Oryzias latipes: one gene and its partner. Each later gene encodes a partner of the first gene's protein in a complex. Links are inferred from orthologs where the notes say so. Each region holds a gene or a part of one and is shown in the gene's direction. Other genes may lie near its edges. The genes, in order: THO complex subunit 4 and thoc2.

Region 1 (4,494 bases):
GGACTAAAGCAACCTCTGCCCCCCCCCCCTTTTTTTTTTTAAATCCTCAACAAGAACCAAAAGGATTTGGATTTCAGGGAGTTCAGATTCTTCCCACTTTCTCTGCATTTTTAGTTCACAGTTTTCATCAAAAGTTTCAATGAAGGTTTTGTGGTTAAGGCACAAAAAACGAGGACACAAGACTTAAACCCTCTACTACCAAATGTACCCTGATGACTTTGAAAGAAAATATGAAAGGGCTGACTTCTGTTTTTATTTTTTGGAAAACCAATTGATAAACAGTAGAATGATCTCAATGGATATCCTCTTAGTGGGCTTGTTTTGGAAACCAAAATACAATGTGGAAGGCCAACATTTTTTTTATTATTATTATTATTATTATACATTTTTCTTGCCCTGGGATGGACATTGTTGAGTAGTGAATGCAGGAATGCAGCTCTTATCTCCTTCCTCTAAGCCTTGGAAGCAAAATGTTGAATAAAAGACTTTTACAGAACTTCTGCTTGGTTTGACACTCATGTATGTTTGTTATAATACAATGAACAGTAATCAGTGTTAGGCTGTTTTTTTCCTCGGAACAAACGTTAGCTAAAAGTATGGAAAACGATCATAAATAAGAGGTTAAAAACTCCCCAGTATATCCCCCACCCCACTAAAATTCAGCTATTTTTAAATATACATAACTGTATTTGTAGTTTAGCTTTACAGATTGATTATATCTTTGATTTTCACTTTTTTTACACCCACAATTATTAGGAAAGTAATTCTTTTGCTTTTTTTATTAATAACAGCAATACCAGTTTTTTGTTATTTCTTTATAATAACGTGCAATTAACAGAGGTAGAGTTTACAGACAAACAGAGCCATGTAGCTCAGAAACAATCAATGTAGGAAAGGTTTCAATAAAAGAACAAGAGGGAAACTTTCTTTTTTGTTTGTTTTCTAATTAGGTGAAGAAGTTGTTGGTCTTAAAAATACTACTACCTTCAAATCAAAACAATAGAGTTGCATTTATATTTGTTATTTACATATTTCAAATGAATGTGAAGGAAGAATACAATCATGCATTCTCGTGCAGGGTGCTTTTTTAATCCTTATTGTAGTATGAAGAAGAGCAAAATTTTGAATAATACTTTGAATTGCTATCTTTTTATGCAAAATTAATCTTTTGAGATCAAATTAATTTCAACTTCTTAGCAGATTTGCTGACGTGTCTCATCAAAAAGAGATCCAATTTGTATTTATAATATGCATATTGAGAGTTCAGGGTGTTGTCCAATTTAAGCATTCATTATAATAACGTTTCTTGATCAAACTAAGAAAGTTTTCTTTAGGTCATAGTCACATCTAAATAAAAAATCAATTCAATACAAATTTCATTTGAAATATGAAACCACATTTTTGTTTGTTTAAAGAAGTGCCTTAGCCTATTTGTTTTCAATGTAATTTAAAGTCTAAAAGTATTTTTTTTTATGTTATTCAGTTTCGTTATAGAGATATAGTTAAAAGTGTTTGATTTAATGCTTTGATTGCTTCTTTTAGTGTTACTATGAACTGAACACACCCATGTATGGCGTTTTTTAGGAATAATGTTTTAGTTTCCAGTAGAGGGCGGTAAAGAGTTGTTGTAGTTTTTAACGTAATGACGTCAAGAGTACGTGTTCTCCAACCAATCAGCTTTTCTACAGCTTGTGGGCGCTTTTCATTGTGCTTAGTACTTGGACCAGAGAGCGTAAATCTACGGACGAAGAGAGGGAACAGCTTAGTCCAGGGTGTTTTAAGACAATTTAAATCTTTACAGTGCTTTAGAGTTATCGGGGCAGCATAATGGCGGATAAGATGGATATGTCTCTAGACGACATTATCAAGCTGAACAGGCAGAGTAGAGGCGGAGCCCGTGGGGGAAGAGGCCGAGGCCGCGGAGGCTCAGGCGGTGCCCGTGGAGGAGGCCTTGGGCGTCTTGGTGGTGGCGGCGGCGGATTTGGAGGCCGAGGCGGAGGATCAGGCCCCATGAGGACCCGACAGAACCTGAGCCGCGCTAGAGGCAGACCAACGCCTTATAGCAGGGTATGAGAAAGTTAGACGAATGGGCATTGGAAGGAAAAAAACCTTCGTCAAAGCTGAAAATTCCTGGTTTACGTCTTCTTTTCTCCATTTGGCTTGACGGCTAATCACCTAGCTAGTCAAGCCATTAAAATGGTTGCTTACCGCTGAGTTTCCCTTAGAGGAGAGCTCTATAGTTTGTGGATAAGCATAAATGGAGGTTGTTTGCATAATATGTCCCTTCTCCCACAACCTATATGTGTCGCACCACTTTTCAAGAAGAAGCTGCTTGAGGAGCGACTATGTTAGCCACATTGGCTAACCTGCCGGATCGTGAAGGTCTCAGCGCCATTTTGAATCCAACAACCTCGAATACAATTTGGCGTCAAAATGATGTTTTACCCCAAGTGTCGTAATGGTCTGGAAAGAAAAGGATGCCTACATCGCTGAGAAGGTTCCTGCACGTTTTTTCCATTGCTACGGAATCACATTCCTTCCAACGTCCTGCTACATCTTCAAGGCGGCCTTTTGTCCCAGGAATGGCTGACGGGGTTTCTTAAAATCCCACCCAAAAGGCTTTTCACCAAATGTCACATATGGATGGATACGTGGACTCATACTTAATCCCCTCAAATTTCCTTTATTTTTTTTTTTTTTTTTGTAAAAAGAAGCCCAATCTTCACTCCTGGGGTGTGAATGAATATAAATGCAACCCAAACAAAGCCCCGATCAAAATGGCGTGGTTTCAAAATGGACGTCCGCGTACTCCACGCACTAAAAAGGGGGCTATCGGCTTCTTTCCCCCCAAAATGTTCTTCACCTGTAACATCCTAAAGACATTTCTTCATGAAAGTCGAATTGTGGCCTGACAAAGGACTGTTGTGAGCCTGGACAAGCGGCGCAACGCGGGATGCGAGGCTGCTTCTGCCGGGGACCCCCCCTCGTGTGCCTGAGGAGCATGTCGACAGACAGAGCAGTTGGTGGAGTAGCAGATGGCAAGAAACGACGGGGTTATGCTAGCTAGTTTGGGGCGGATTTTTGGTTCATGTAAAGATTTTTTAAAGTTAATGTATGAAAATGATTAGTTTAAATATCTGTCAGCTTTTTGTCTTACTTTACAAGTAGTAAAACATTGAAATTTTCTGTATCAAAACACCAAAATAGCTATTTTTAAATTTGTGTATTTCTGTCTGAAGTGATTCACGTGATTGTAACGATGGGGTGGGCAGGGATCATGGGGGGGTCTGCTGAGCACCCTGGCCGTGTTGGAAGTGGAGCACCTGCTTGCACCAACACCCAGCCGTGTGGACTCTGTGAAAGACAGAGGCAGGGGATCCTGAAGTCAGCAGGTGCGTTCTCTTTCGTCTGTTGCAGCCCAAACAGCTTCCCGATAAATGGCAGCACGACATGTTTGACAACGGCTTCAGCGGCTTCAATGGGGCTGCTGGAGGTGGCGGAGGAGCTGGTGTGGAAACGGGAGGAAAGCTCCTCGTCTCCAATCTGGACTTTGGGGTGTCAGACGCAGACATCCAGGTACAACTTAGCTAGCATATCTGATGGTGATGTTTTTTTTTTTTAATTGATGACTTAGTTTTGACTTTTTTTTTTTTTATCGAAGGAACTCTTTGCTGAATTTGGGACTCTAAAGAAAGCTGCAGTTCATTACGACAGATCAGGAAGAAGCCTTGGAACGGCAGATGTCCACTTTGAAAGGAGGGCAGATGCCCTGAAAGCCATGAAACAGTACAATGGCATTCCTCTTGATGGTATTCTTCTACTTTATTACAGATTTATTTAATTAGATAAATACATTTAAATATTAGTTGATCTTCCCAAGATTAAAGCCTAATTTGTGTTTAGGGCGGCCTATGAACATTCAGCTCGTCACATCACAGATCGACACACAGAGGCGGCCTATGCAGGGGTAAGTAAGCATGGATTCTTGGGAAACTGGAAACAGGCTGTTGTGTAAACCCCAATTACATTTTCTTTGTGTATTTGTTTTGTTTTACCAGTATGAACAGAGGTGGTGGAGGCATGAGTAGAAATCGGGGTTTCGGAGGGATGCAAAGAGGCCGAGGGGTCCGTGGTGCAGGTGGTCCCAGAGGAAGAGGGCGGGGGGGGCGCGGCGGTGCCCCCAAGCAACCGCTATCGGCAGAAGAGCTTGACGCCCAGTTAGATGCTTACAATGCCAGGGTACATCTGTCAAAATAGAAAGCATCTTCTGTTGAAGTTGTTTTGCAGCTGTCCTAATTCTGTTTCACCTCTTGTTTTCTCAGATGGATACCAGTTAAGGAAACCTCCCATCCTAGTTGACGTCATCCCTCCCTGTCTGCACAGAAAGGGGTGCTTGTTACAGATGTGCAGAATATTTTACACTTGTCTTCTGATGTGATTGAAATTGTTCCAACCTCTTCTTTTAAATACTCCAAAGTGTTTTTTACCAAGTGT
Region 2 (3,817 bases), on another chromosome or scaffold:
CCCAGCTCTAGGCAGAAACAGAAAATCTCATGTCTAACTCTAGACTATGATTTGGTAAGGCGCTGCATAGTGGAACAGTGGTTAGCCCTCTTGCCTCACAGCAAGAAGGGTTGAAATCCTGGCGGGGACCTTTCTGGGTGGAGTTTGCATGTTCTCCCCGTGCATGTGTGGGTCTTCTCTGGACACGCCGGCTTCCTCCCACCGTCCATGCGTCATTGGTTAAAAGGTATCCCTAAATTGTCCCCATGTGAGCGTGTGGCACTACAACAGACTGGCGACATGCTTGGGGCGTACCCCACCTTCGCCCAACAGTTTCTGGGCTGGCTCCAGCATCTTGTGACCTGCATTTGTATGGAAAACTAAACAGTTGATTCTTGATGCGTTAAAAGATATATAAAGCAAATAAAATTAATATAGCAACATTGTTACAAAAATGATTTATTTGCAAAAGATGCTGAAATTGTTCTCAGCTGCAAAATTAAATAATAAATGTCCCTTTCTTCTTTCAAATGTAGGCCTAACTGTCACTGATAATGATGAACCCTCTTGATGCAGACAAACTTGAATTTGTTCCGTGTAAATCCTGCTTAAGTTGTAATTCAGTTAGTGGGGTTTTTGACAAAAACAACTGCTACTCGAGCTCAAGATGTTTGTTCCAATAATGAGGTAAAGTAGAAAGACAGGAAGCATGGATACCAAATCAAATTGCCATCCATTTATTTTCTGCTTGATTCTTTTTGGTTTCACTGGGTTGCTGGAGCCTATCCCAGCCACTGTTGCGTAGTACCCCCTGGATGGTTTGCCTGTCTATCACAGTGCTTTACAGAAACATACAACCACTCACATTCACACTCAAGCACAATTTAAAGTCCCCAATTTTTTAATGAATTTGAGTTTATTGGCAACTATTGATGAAAGGTCAGGGTTATTCAGGATTCTAATGATATTATGTTTGATTATATTTTTGGGGTTATTGACCTCTTTCTGTGAGTAATTCCCATAAATCTGCCGCTTTTACTTCATCAGAGTCTGATACCTGAGGCCATCTTGAAGGAGAGGCTGGATCCCGAGACACTGGAATCTCTGGGATTGATTAAACAAGCTCACCAGTTTAACCAGAAGATTGTAAAAATCAAGACTAAACTTTTGTAAGTGCAAACATGCTTCAACATAGTACTCTTGCTGTCTAATGCCTGTCTGACTTTTCTATAACTTTCTTTTTTTTTTTTTTTTAGTTACAAGCAACAGAAGTTCAACTTGCTACGAGAGGAGAACGAAGGTTACGCTAAATTAATAACCGAGCTTGGCCAAGACCTGTCAGGCAACATCACCAGCCACCTCGTCTTGGAGAACATAAAGTCTCTCATAGGTATATAAAGAGTCATTTTTCTGCATCACTACCTCAAACTTTCTTATCTCAAATATGATTATTGTGTTTATTGAAAATGTGTAATAGTGAATTTTCTTAGTATTAGGGATTTCTGTGCCACAATTTCTTAGTTTGGCTTTTTCACAGCAAGTTATTGGTGTCTTGTGTTTTAGTTATAAAAAGACATTTTAGAAGCAAATTATTATATATCGTTACATAATACTATTTATACATAAAAATACAATTCTAATTATTTATTAAAAGATATTGCTTCACATTAATAGCTCAGAAAAGTTCAGTTATTTCCTATTCGACTGTTTTCAAACTGAAATGGGGTCCATGTCAGTTCCAGATTAAGTCATTTTTGGTGCTAGAAATCATTGTGGCTGGATCCCAAACTTTACTGATTACAAACAAATTTACAGCTGTAAACACGCTGTAGAACAGCAGAGTATGAAATGGATCCAATAGAATTTCAATGAAAAACATGTCATAGGATGCTTTGTGTAAAAACTACAACCGTGACCTCAGGGATAATCTTTTTTTTCCCTCCCCTGTAGGCTGCTTCAACCTGGACCCTAACCGGGTTTTGGACATCATCCTTGAGATTTATGAAAGTCGCTCCGATCAAGACGAGTTTTTCTTGTCGCTCATTAAGTCCTACATGTGTGAGCCACTCACTCTCTGCCACATTTTGGGCTTCAAGTTTAAATTCTACCAGGTGAGAACACCCAAAGTTCATATTTAAATACAGGCATGTATTTGAGTGTTTTTTCTAATAATCATACTATCTTCATTGTTTTAGTCTAAGTTCTCATTGATTGACTTTTGTATTTGTTCAGGAGCCCAATGAGGAAACCCCCAAGTCACTTTACCACATTGCTGCTGCACTGCTCCACCACAATTTAATAGAGCTGGAAGACCTTTATGTACATGTAAGTGCAGATTTTCATATCATTTAATTCATTCCAAATTTCTGCTTTCCATATGTCCATCCCTTCAATGAAACCATTTTTAAATTGTTTTTTTTTTTTTGTGCGTAAATTTGCACCGAGAAAAAAATAAACCCTCCCTGACCTCAAGTTACTTCTGCAATTTCAGCTGATGCCACTAGATGTCACTATTATTGAAGAACACAAACGGGAAATCTCAGAGGCCAAGCAGATCGCACGCAAACTGGTGATGGTGGTGCTTCCCTCGGACAAAAGTGAAGACAGAGAGAAGGAGAAGGAGAAAGAGGAGGAGAAGTTTGAAAAGGTATTTGAGCTTTTTCTCTCATTTAGAATGAAGTCAAACAGAATTATACGTTTTGTTCTAATCTCAACCCAACTTTACATGTTGTTACTAACATTTTCACAAGATGAAAAATGAAAATATCATTTTCGAAACTTAAATAACAGACATTTCAATAAGAACTAATTGAGAAAGGCATCGCTGTCTACATCGGTGCATCTGTGTTTGGTTTTGCATCTGTTTTGTTTTAATCCCTCTTTTTACTTGATGTCTTTTGCTTTTGTATGTTGTCCCACAGCCACCTGATAATCAAAAGCTTGGTCTCTTGGAAGCACTACTTAAAATTGGAGACTGGCAACACGCCCAGAGTATTATGGACCAGATGCCCTCCTTTTATTCTGCTTCTCACAAAACCATCGCTTTGGCACTCTGCCAACTGGTCCACCTAACTGTGGAGCCTCTTTACCGAAGGTGCTGATTTTCATCTTCCACTTGTTGCCCATAACATGCATTATGTTCATCAATAAGACACACACTGTTTATGGAAAGACTAGAATCCAAGAGTGGATTCAGAGCTGCAAACCAAAGCTCTAAGACTAGCCTCTCCTCTTCACAGGGTTGGCGTTCCCAAAGGGGCGCGGGGGAGTGCCATGCTTGCACTGAGGAACGGCCGGGCTCCACGGCCTGCAGAGACTTTTGAAGATCTGCGCAAGGACACGTTCAGCATGCTGTCCTACTTGGGCCCCCATCTCTCCCATGACCCCATCCTGTTTGCTAAGATTGTGCGACTGGGAAAGGCTTTCATGAAGGAGGTTTGTAACTTGAAACCATTTAGCATCATCTGCGCTCCAGCATCAGAGGTTGACTCTGTTCTTGCTCCTCAGTACCAAAGTGACAGCAGACCTGAGGTCAAAGACAAGATGGTGAGAGCAGCAGTTGCATTCCTTTCATGGTCTTTCCAAGCGTCTACACCTGTTCGACTTGTTGTGACCTTAATGTTACGTATAATAATTGCAGGAAATACTGTTGAGTTGTTTCCTGAGCATTGCAGACCAGGTGCTGCTACCCTCCCTCTCTTTGATGGAGTGTAATGCTTGTATGTCAGAGGAACTCTGGGGTCTCTTCAAACTCTTTCCCTATCATCACAGGTGAACAAACACTCACACAGGACATTAACACACAGATGTTGCTCTCTGCATGATGTGACACGTAATT

What was found.
Region 2: THO complex subunit 4 (region 1) and thoc2 share a complex: the UniProt entries of both Homo sapiens proteins name them as parts of the transcription/export (TREX) complex. The link is inferred for Oryzias latipes from reciprocal best matches to the Homo sapiens genes ALYREF and THOC2.

The regions. Positions count from the first base shown.
Region 1 is NC_019866.2:15,369,823-15,374,316, reverse strand, and holds the start of THO complex subunit 4, read left to right. Parts: upstream 1-1,680; 5' UTR 1,681-1,827; coding exon 1,828-2,067; intron 2,068-3,417; coding exon 3,418-3,576; intron 3,577-3,661; coding exon 3,662-3,809; intron 3,810-3,903; coding exon 3,904-3,967; intron 3,968-4,058; coding exon 4,059-4,239; intron 4,240-4,322; coding exon 4,323-4,337; 3' UTR 4,338-4,494. UniProt on the Homo sapiens protein: Functions as an mRNA export adapter; component of the transcription/export (TREX) complex which is thought to couple mRNA transcription, processing and nuclear export, and specifically associates with spliced mRNA and not with unspliced pre-mRNA.
Region 2 is NC_019872.2:16,166,660-16,170,476, reverse strand, and holds part of thoc2 (THO complex subunit 2), read left to right. Parts: intron 1-1,026; coding exon 1,027-1,148; intron 1,149-1,235; coding exon 1,236-1,369; intron 1,370-1,929; coding exon 1,930-2,090; intron 2,091-2,211; coding exon 2,212-2,304; intron 2,305-2,470; coding exon 2,471-2,626; intron 2,627-2,900; coding exon 2,901-3,073; intron 3,074-3,218; coding exon 3,219-3,414; intron 3,415-3,486; coding exon 3,487-3,525; intron 3,526-3,619; coding exon 3,620-3,750; intron 3,751-3,817. UniProt on the Homo sapiens protein: Component of the THO subcomplex of the TREX complex which is thought to couple mRNA transcription, processing and nuclear export, and which specifically associates with spliced mRNA and not with unspliced pre-mRNA.